Arabidopsis thaliana: one gene and its partner. The protein of the gene in region 1 interacts with the protein of each later gene in a pairwise test. Each region holds a gene or a part of one and is shown on either strand. Other genes may lie near its edges. The genes, in order: AT5G61820 and AAP5.

Region 1 (5,134 bases):
CGATCTGGGTATCGTCTAAGAACCCTAACTTCGAATTGTCGAAGAATTCGAACAGTTTTTGAATCCTGATCTCTCTCTTCTCCTTGGTCTCTCGTAATGCCACCAACACGTGCTCCATTGTTGCTTCTACGGGCTTCTTACCCGGATTTTGCTTGGATTTCTCTGCCTCCATTGCTGGTTAACGATCAATCGAGAAACCCAGATGAGCAAAATTGGAAAGCTTTCAAGTTTCAACAGTTTTGGACGATTCTATGGTCCCTTCATTCTTGGAAGAAAAAAGAATTTCGGAAATAATCAAAATCAGAATTCAAAAATGAAATTTATTTGGACAAAACTTTTGTCTCTGAGATTTGAGGTCGGTGAGCAAAAAATATCTGCCTCAAATCTTCCATGGACAGCTGGAGTCTCCATTATTGTTCGTGGACCACTCAAAACTGTTTCCGACATATATGACACACAAAAAACACCAGTCAAATAAAACCGGTCTAGTTTGAGTGAATCACAGCAACGAGTCAGTTTTCACCGGTTTAGCTGCTTTGAACGAGAACAATATCTGGGTTGAACCAGAACAGTGACGGTAAAAGTTTTTTTTTATAACTAACTCTAGTAACTGAATATCAACTTTTGAATTTTTGATCATACAGATGATTTTAGACAGTGAAACATCACAAATTTGGATGTAGAGTAATTCATAAGTTATAGAGATTAAAAAAAATTGTAATTTTGCAAGTATTAAAGGGTTTGGAACCAAGACAACGAAAATAATGTTAGTTTATTGTGTGAATGTGATGTATTTGAGAAAGAAAAGTTCTTCTTACACGTAACTATTACAGAGATATCACATCAGAGGAAGATGACAACAAAATAATCTTTTATTCTATGTATACAAACAGAATTCACTTTGAAGACATATATAGAGTCGACATGGTTTTTGCTCTTTTTTAAGTACTAAGTGATTGGTAACCATCTTCCCGTTTCTGTCTCCGGTATATCACGGCGGCTATTAAAACCACAACAGCCACAACTACCGTCACTGCAAAAATGGCTAAAAAGCTCAAGCTTCTCGCAGGTGCCTACAAGGAAGTGAGAGATATTAACGTCAGTTAAATAATCACATGGCAATACACTGTATATGTATCGTAACCGGTTTGACCTTAACCGAGTTCTGGTACCGGGTGGAGTGATTACCTCAAAATGTTGTTTATTAGGCAAGGAGCTATCTGGTTCCGGCAGCTGCTGAGCAACGAGGATGTAAAAGAGTCCCATAACTCCGGTATGACCAACGGCATTACTGTAATTAGATTCCAAAGTCAATGTCTCTCCATAGCTCACTTTCACTGGATCAGCTGGATAACAAGACGACATTCCAACAATGTAACCAGCTTCGTTTCCAGGTTCATCTCCATTGCCATACTTCGGCATTGAAGCGCATATCCCTTCACCGTTCTGATCCACAACACAACAAGAGTCTCAATTCAATAACAAAGTTTCAATCTTTTCGTTTTGCAGTAGCCTAAACTAAATCAGTCTCTTAGTTACCTCTCGGTATAGAGCACCACCGATACCACCAGCGTGCTGGTGAGCTACCCCGTAGACAATATACCCATCAAATGGCATCACTAAGCTCTTTTTCTTAACGTCAACGCATCCATCGCCATTGGTTTTGCACGGTTTCACCTCGTATTCCACCTGAAAATCACAAAGACCCGGAAAATTATTAGAGAATGAAGTAGAAGTAACGGCATTAAGCAGATATGAAAGTTCTTACTGACATGGCAAATATGTTCTTGGCTATCTCCTTTTGATCTTTCCCAAGAATCTGTAACATCGAAAATATAAACCTTAGCGGGCAAAACCGAGCTGTCCCAATCAACCCATCTCACGGTATACTTCAAATACAGAGTTCTTGTTTTCTCCCCATTGTCAAATCCGCTTTTCACCCGACATTGAGTCTTATCATAGCAGCAGTATAAACCTCCTTTGTATCCAGGCCTTATAGCTCGACCATACTCATCAATGGTAACATTATACAGATCACACAAACATTCTATGCATCCTTTCTTATCTTCCACACCTCTGGTGTCTATCGCGTGAATGTTAAGAAGCCATTTGAATTCATAACCATCAGGTGTTTCCTCAGGATTACCGATTTCAATAGCGTAGGGATCAGGAACATACGTCGAGGTTTCGCGGGTTTCTGATCCTAAACCAAAGAAATGTCTGAGTGTTAAACTCCTGCACAACCCTCCATTTTTCACAAGAATAATATCTGACTTGGAATCAAGATTGCTTTCAGGATCTTCCCTGGAAAATCCATGATTCCTGAACATTTCTCTCTGTGGAAGCTTGGAACCTTTACGTACATAGTATGGCTCGACAATCCAATGGTGGAGATAGGTCTCGTGTAGAGGAACGGGTTTGCCCGCTTCGTCAACCACTTCAGCATCGAAAGCTTTGAGGCCGATATGACCTCTTGGGAAATCGATGTCGAATAAGTAAGGATTTGCAACTGATCCTGGATTCATCACAAGTTTTGGTGAGTAAAAGACAGCGGATTTGATCTTTTCCTCTGTCCCTAGGAAGCCTTGGCTCGGCGATATGCTTAATGAGAGCAGAACTAAGCACAAGATCATCGATCTCCTGTGGTAACGAGCCATCATCTCCTGTTTCATGATCATATATAAAAGGAAAGAGATTGATTCAGCTAATCAAATTCATAAACATGGATAAGATATCACAAACTCTAAACCTAGCTCAAACTATGAACAATAGAGGATAACCACTTGAAACCTAATTTTAATCAGAAGATTTTAGTACTTGTGCTGCTTATTCAAAATTCCTTTGCCCAAAAAAAAAAAGTTTGACTTACCTTTTGAAAGACGAACGTATCCACTATGGAACAATCTTTCGTAATCTCACTTTCTAGTTTGGTATTTAAAAAACCCAAAATTTGATTGTCAAATTAAATACAATAAGAGATTCCTAAACCCAGAATTCAATTGCGAAATCAAACAGAGACGATACAGAGAGAGCGAGAGAGCGAGAGAGAGAGAGTGATTTACGTGAGAACGAATCGGATAAACGGAAATTTCCAGAAGCCGGATGAGTTTCCCGCTATTGTGATGAGTAACAAAACAAATTCGGGAGTTGTCTATTTAATACTTATCAATAGCCCATGAACGCAGAGACGTATGGACGCGAGAATCGTTAGTACGTGACACGTGTAAACCAGTGACGTCACCGCTCTCGTCACAAACCCGCTAGTATTGTCCTCTTCTATTTTATCTCACACAATCATGTTAGGTTATCATAGTACCACTAAACATTTATGTGAGAATGGATGGATATTAGACAACCGACGACAAATAAAACAAACAAAAGTAGATAGACGACCATAAATTAAACTATAAACGAAGATTGAGGGAAAAAATCATTGGTTTAGATTTTCGAACAAATATCGTGAAAAGTTTTTCATCTTGTAGTTTTTGTAATTAATGGTGTATGAAAAATCATTGGTTTGTTTAGTTGAATTAAATTTCAGTAAACGGTTTAGAGTATGAACCCACTCAATAAAGATTTGACTGCCAAGCGTTACTGGTGTCTGGTGGATTGAATAGTTAAGAGTATAAGGTTTGGGCCATTATGTGGTTTTTATTAAAGTTGAAGGTCTCATTTATTAATTCCTTAGAGCTGATGGCTAATGTACAACGAATTTGATTCAGGAGTAAGATAAACGGTACACCCAAACACGCGACGCGAGCGAAGAAGACGATGACGAACAAGGAGAAAGCTCGAGAGAGAAGGGAGAAAAGAATGCAGGAGATCTCTCTCCTTCGAACTATTCCTTACTCTGACCACCATAGGTATGAAGAGACCTAATTTGTCCAATTGTTTCGGCTTCTTTGTATCCTAAGATCTATCATCATTTACTCTGCGAGATTCTCAATTTCACAGCATTCGATGTGTTAATCTCTAATTTCACTTGCTTAAATCCATTTCTTAGTGTCGCTTACAGTGTTTGATGAGTTTCTATTTTTCTCTATTTGGGAGTTGGAGACTGAATTGGTATTGTTGTTGGTACTTACAGATTTGTGTTTCACTAAACCAAAAGAATTTAGAGAAATTGAAAATGATGAAGTATGTGTCTCTCAAGCCCTCTTTTTGAATTTGACTTGTCATTAGGCGTCAAATGATTTTTTAGGTGGTGGTCTTGTGAAAATGTAGCAGTAGTGACTGGTTCAAACCGCGGGATTGGATTCGAGATTGCAAGACAGCTTGCGGTTCACGGATTGACGGTTGTTCTTACAGCTAGAAACGTGAATGCTGGTCTTGAAGCAGTTAAATCTTTGAGGCACCAAGAAGAAGGTCTCAAGGTTTATTTTCATCAACTTGATGTCACAGACTCTTCGTCGATTAGAGAGTTTGGTTGCTGGCTTAAGCAAACATTTGGAGGTTTAGATATTCTCGTAAGATCCTTATCGATTCGTAATCTTGGAGGATAGTTCTAATGTTTTCTTAGATTTGAATTACATGCATTTGTGTTGCTATGTTTTTCAGGTGAATAATGCAGGTGTTAACTACAATCTCGGCTCAGATAATACGGTTGAATTTGCTGAAACAGTTATATCTACTAACTACCAAGGAACCAAAAACATGACAAAAGCTATGATACCCTTGATGAGACCATCTCCTCATGGCGCTCGTGTAGTCAATGTTAGTTCTCGGCTAGGTAGAGTAAATGGAAGACGTAATGTAAGAAACTCTTTCACTCATATCTTTGATTTTTTTTGAAAAAAGAAAATCTCGTTGAAATTCATGAATTGCAGAGACTGGCAAATGTAGAGTTGAGAGATCAGCTAAGCAGTCCAGATTTGCTGACCGAGGAACTTATAGACAGAACTGTCTCTAAATTCATCAACCAAGTAAAAGACGGAACTTGGGAATCAGGCGGGTGGCCTCAGACATTCACTGACTACTCCATGTCTAAGCTTGCAGTCAATGCTTACACGAGACTAATGGCAAAAGAACTTGAGAGACGAGGAGAGGAAGAGAAGATTTATGTTAACAGCTTTTGCCCTGGTTGGGTGAAGACTGCGATGACTGGCTACGCCGGAAATATGCCACCTGAAGATGC
Region 2 (5,746 bases), on another chromosome or scaffold:
TGTGTATGATCTAGTTAGCTTAGGTATTTCAAACTAAAAAGACATGTTTGTCTTGTAAAAACAAAATGTGACATTGGTGTGCGTTACTCTAAATTCTTTACCGATCGACCCTAATACTACTTTGATTGCTTTGCACTTGTAGTTTAGGAAATTAAAACTATATCATCATTGGTTGAGTTATTTTTTATATTATTAAAGTTCTTGAGTATATATAAAACAAAAGAGTTGAGGTATCAAAAAGACACCAAGCATGTGATATTATTCTTAAGTACTTTCACTCATTTGATTGTATAGCTTTTGAATGTAACTAATGTTATTTATTGTGTAACTAACTGAGAATTCATCGATTGCTTTGTAAAAGAAAGATCAGAATATTTTCAGTGTCATATCATTATTCTCGATTTGCTTTTGTTAAATTTTAATTATTGTTTTGTCAAGGTAAACATTGATTATCTTATTTGTATGGCTTCATTAGGCATTGTTAGCTCAATTTTATCTAGGGGATCTTTAGTTTTGGAGAGTGTTTACAAGAAGATAAACGATTTAAGAATTTGAAGAATTTTGGAGATAAACACAAAACATCTTGTAGCTCCTTTGGTTTATAGACTTCTAAAATTAATTATAAGTATTAAATGTTTAATACATCTCTACTACCTCAAGTGTCGAAAAAGCTATCCTTATACATGACTACTTTTAATCATTGATAGTTCAATGTTGTAAGAATTCTCGGTAGAAACATGATTTATAATTGAACACTTACACAAAGTTAACTAATACAAATATGACATTAAAACATTCAATTCTAATCTTAACCCTTTTAGCAGGAGTTTATTTTTCCCGTATGATCTCAGAATTCAGACTGGAAAGGTTTGTAGACCTTGAGATCACTAACAATGCCAATAACAGATCCCGCGGCCGCGGCTACGGACACAAAAAGACATGTCACACTCAAGACTTGTAGACAAACCCACTTTGTGCCCCATCTCGGAACATTCTTCTGTGCAATGTACATTTCCACTGGGAAATAAACCGTTAAAGGCCAAAAACCAATGGCCCCCAAGAGACCGACTACATCGTTAAAGAAAGGCATTAACATTGAGATCAACGTTGTTGTCATCACGAAGAACGTCCTCCATACGAGCCTGAAGAGATTCAAGTTAAAGGGCTTCCCCGGGAAGAGTTGGATCTTGATCTCTTTTGTGACGAATTCGCTCTCTGGAAACCTCCTAGAGGCTTCCTTCTCGACGAAGGCAAAGAGGGGTTGGCAATAGACTTGGTAAGCACCGACTAGATGGATCACTATAGCGAGATTAGCAATGTCAAGCAACCAATATGGGTTTCTAAACCCTCCATGAGCGAGGAGATTTCCGGGTGCGTTATCCCCAAATGCTGCATACCCTACACAGCCACATAGCATGTAGAAGACTGTAGTCACTGCCACACTTACAAAAGTCGCTTTTCTCATCGTGTTTACTTCGGCAGGCGGTGATTTCACCGTGTCCTGGATCATCAAATCGTCTAGTTGATTAAAACATCCTTTAAACAAACTCTTATCACACAAACTCGCTTAACAAATAAACCAAACGATGCACTAGTTGTAACAACGTTATTTTTCTTTTGAATCTAACTTAACATTATTTTCAAAAAAAAAAAAACTCGCGTAACAAAAATACCTGAATTTCGATGAGAATCATCGAGTAAGAGTACGCAAACGCAATGTTGCCAAGAGACTGAAATGTTCTCCATATTTTCTGCGACGATGTCACTGTCCCACTCAGTGTCACTGTCCCAACAGTGACTCCAGTGAGACTACCTTTAATTTCTTTGTTCTCTACCACTTTAGAGACACCAAGGCCAAGTCCAATGGCAGAATAAGCAAAAGACATGACCGCAGCGACAATGGAAAGCCACCATAACTGATCAAAATCAGGAATCTGAGAGAATATGATTTGTACAATACCAAACGCAATCATGTAAACATTTCCATTAACATGACAAGGATCATTTGGTCCATTCATCTGTTGGCAACTTGTCCTTTGGATTGCTCTGTAAATTTTTTATTCAAGAAAATTAGTTAACAAGTCAAACAATAATAGAGCCGTTCTTTCGAATCTTTAATGGCACAAAACAAGACTACATTGACTAAAACACTGCATTATTGAGCCAAACATTAATGACTTGTATGGACAATATTGAATAGCAAAATAAAACACGCATCTAACTTTTTTTGGACAAATGTGAACAATTAAAATAAAAAGAGTTTTGTGAAAGCAAAGTTTTAACTTACACCAAACTTATAGCTGATGCAATTGTATATCCAATTGCTGTACCAAATAGATTAACATATTGCACAACTCCACATACTTTCACCTTAATCCCACCTAAAAATGAATCAAGAATGAATTAAGTTTTTGATGATAATAACTATTGGGATATGGAACCGATATGGAGAACCAGAGATCGACAGAGATCAACGGTTGAAATGACAAGGCCAAGATACGGCAAGAAAATATTATTCTAAAAGATAAATGTTAAACTTTCTAAACTTCAATATTAACATTTATCTTCTAGAATAATATCTTTTTGTTATATCTTGGCCTTGTCATCTCAACCGTCGATCTTCGGTTCAATATCCCAATATATGCACCAAAAAGAAACCGAAATGATTTTTTTTTTGTTTACCGAGGTTGGAGTGAATAGCGTCCATGTAAGTGTAGTTTCTTTTGCCGGTAACAGAGTCACCAGATCGGTAACAAGAACAGAGAAGGGTAGATGTGTAAAAAGTAACGAAAGAAAAGAGTAACATAGCCACTGGACCACCAATCCAACCAATCTGAGCAACGGCCCATGCCAATGACAACACTCCTGACCCAATTACTGCTGTTATTATGTGTGCACTTGCTGTCCACACCGTCCCTAAACACCAATCACATTCAAACAGAATTTTAAGACAAGAACTGTAGTAACAATAAAGTCTGTTTTGTTTAACCGTTAATTTTAAGACAACAACTGTAGTAACAATAGTGTTCATACACTTTAGTAACAAAAATCATACTTTTCCATAACATCCACACAAAAAAAGAAGTAGGAATTTGTCACCCCTTAACAAACAAAGCCTATGCATATATTTACTGTAGATGTTTTAAATTGCAAGTTCAACAGACTCCGGGTTTCGGTTTGTATCCCGAAACCCGGAATTAAAAAAATTCCGGGTTTCGGGTTCAAATCCCCGGTTATAGGAAACAGAGACTAATTTTATATTTACTTTGATTCTTGTTTGAACAGATTAGAGAAACATAAAACATAAAATTAGAGAAAAAAAGAGAAATTACCGGTTCGCTTGGGACGACCATCATCATCGAATGAATCCGAGCTATGTTTCGGAAGAACATCCAAATCTTGAACATTCTGAACGACCATCTTCTTCTTTTGGTCGACAATAAGACCAAAATTTACTAAGAAGAATCCAAACTTTACCGACAGGAAAAACGGTTGAAAAAGTTTTACTTGTTTTGTGTTTTCTCGTATAGATCTTGAATTTTTTTAAGACCAGAAGAAGAAGTGAAATCAACGATTATTCAGCGAGAAGAAGAATGATTTTGACCAAATAAAATCAACGGTGACAAGAGACCGATGTTTTCTATGGACCAGAGATTATATAATTGGAAGAGAGTGAAAGTATAGGAATTGACAAAGTAGAGATTAGAAATGCATGATAATATAAATACTGACCAAAGCTTTTGTTGTTTCACTAATTTATAAGCACCGTGGAAGACGGAGACATCCAACTTGTAAGAAGGAAGAAGCAGAGGAAACCGCATGTGCTTTTTTTTTTTTTTTTGTGAGGACTACAAAAATAGTTTATCTTTTTATGAGAAAATGGTTTCATTGTTATACATTAGTGACAACAAGTGCAAAATGTCAAATCTTATAAATTACATATAAGCTAAACAATCAAACTAAATTTTAAGATTTTTACCTTTAAAATATAGATATTTTAATTTTAAATTTTAGAAACAATGATTCATGTCCTTATAATTTAAGAGTATTTGAGTAAATCAAAGTAATTTAAGAAAATATATAATTAGAGATATAGTAGTTTTTATTATTATTGATTATTATGTTATATGTACTTTTGATGTCAAGAGAAAGTTGAAGGAAGATTTAACTTTTGAAATTCGTTATATCATTTGTAAATGAACGATTTGGTGGTATACTTATATTAATATTTTAGAATCATTTATCATAGGCATTACTCAAAAAAAACAAAATATATTTAACATGGGCATGTGTTCAACCATAATTATAAACAAATTGATAAAGTATATATTTTATTAATTTGTTATTTAAATAATTAACGTTTACCATGGACTTCTTTCGTCTATATCTAGTATATTTCTAAAAACTTTCGGTTGGTTTTGAGGAAATGAAAGTGGAAACTATGTATAGTGGTGTTTGCATGTTATGAGTTTGGTCACATTATATACTCTTTTTTGGTTGATAGGTTCTCACAAATTGAAGTTACAAAACAATGTTAAATATTCTCGATTATTTTCCATTTTATTTGTGGAGTTTTTGTATGAACATGCAAAATACACCTCGATTAGATGAAGTTTTTCAACATAACATTGCTAGAATTGCTAGGATTAATCTCAATTCTTAAAAATTCCATAAAAGCTAAACATCAAACCAAATTTTAAGATTTTTACCTTTAAAATATAGATATTTTAATTTTAAAATTTAAAAACAATGATTCATGTCCTTAATTTAATGAGTATTTGAGTAAATTAAAGTAATTATAATTAGAGATATAGTTGTTTTTTCATTATTATTGATTATTATGTTATATGTACTTTTGATGTCAAGAGAAAGTTGACGGAGGATTTAACTTTTCAAATTCCTTATATCATTTGTTTTTTTTTTGTCAACCGGAATTAATTAAACTCAAACGAACCAATTCCGAGGAATTAAAAATAAAGAGATGCTAATAAATTTTTCTTTCTCGCTCTTAAATTCTTTCAAATACACTGGAAACACCGACCATTCGGTTGGAAAATACACTGTCGTTATATCATTTCTAAAGAGTATAAATGAACGATTTGGTGGTATACTTTACTATTTTAGAATCATTTATCATAGGCAATTAGATATTATTTTGAAAAAGAAAATATATTTAAAATTTTGATGGGCAAGTTTTCAACCATAATTACAAACAAATTGATAAAGTAAATATTTTATTAATTTATTATTTAATAGTTATTTAAATAATTAACGTTTACCATGGACTTCTTTGTCTATATCTACTATGTTTCTAAAAACTTTCGGTTGGTTTGAGGAAATGAAAGTGGAAACTATGTAAAGTGGTGTTTGCCTGTTATGAGTTTGGTCATATTATATATACTCTATTTTCGTTGATAAATTCTCACAAATTGAAGTTACATAACAATGTTAAATATTCTCGATTATTTTCAATTTTATTTTTGGAGTTTTTGTATGAACATGCAAAATACACCTCAATTAGATGAAGTTTTTCAACATAACATTGATAGAATGGGTTTCACTTTTTTTAAATGCTTATTGCTGTGCAATGGTTTTCCGAAGTTTTCTGCATATATGAATTACCAAAAAATAGGAAATTTAATATAATCATTGGAACATCTAATCTATTATTTGAGTTGGAAAACATTTTGATTTTTCAGAACGATGTTGTTGGAAAACCAATAATTCATCTGAAAAGTATATTGAT

Evidence for each region.
Region 2: the proteins of AT5G61820 (region 1) and AAP5 interact in a two-hybrid assay, tested with the Arabidopsis thaliana proteins (one large-scale study listed by BioGRID).

The regions. Positions count from the first base shown.
Region 1 is NC_003076.8:24,833,564-24,838,697, forward strand, and holds AT5G61820 (stress up-regulated Nod 19 protein), read right to left. Parts: upstream 3,371-5,134; 5' UTR 3,063-3,370; exon of another isoform or gene 2,870-3,062; intron 2,664-2,869; 5' UTR 2,661-2,663; coding exon 1,773-2,660; intron 1,690-1,772; coding exon 1,540-1,689; intron 1,447-1,539; coding exon 1,189-1,446; intron 1,074-1,188; coding exon 942-1,073; 3' UTR 737-941; downstream 1-736. Other genes in the region: APC1 (Mitochondrial substrate carrier family protein), read right to left, coding at 1-172; AT5G61830 (NAD(P)-binding Rossmann-fold superfamily protein), read left to right, coding at 3,772-3,863, 4,202-4,466, 4,558-4,752, 4,827-5,134.
Region 2 is NC_003070.9:16,763,804-16,769,549, forward strand, and holds AAP5 (amino acid permease 5), read right to left. Parts: upstream 3,883-5,746; 5' UTR 3,421-3,882; coding exon 3,333-3,420; intron 2,917-3,332; coding exon 2,683-2,916; intron 2,636-2,682; exon of another isoform or gene 2,456-2,635; intron 2,382-2,455; coding exon 2,288-2,381; intron 2,047-2,287; coding exon 1,674-2,046; intron 1,502-1,673; coding exon 848-1,501; 3' UTR 589-847; downstream 1-588. UniProt on the Arabidopsis thaliana protein: Amino acid-proton symporter. Stereospecific transporter with a broad specificity for glutamate and both neutral and basic amino acids. Reduced affinities for asparagine and valine.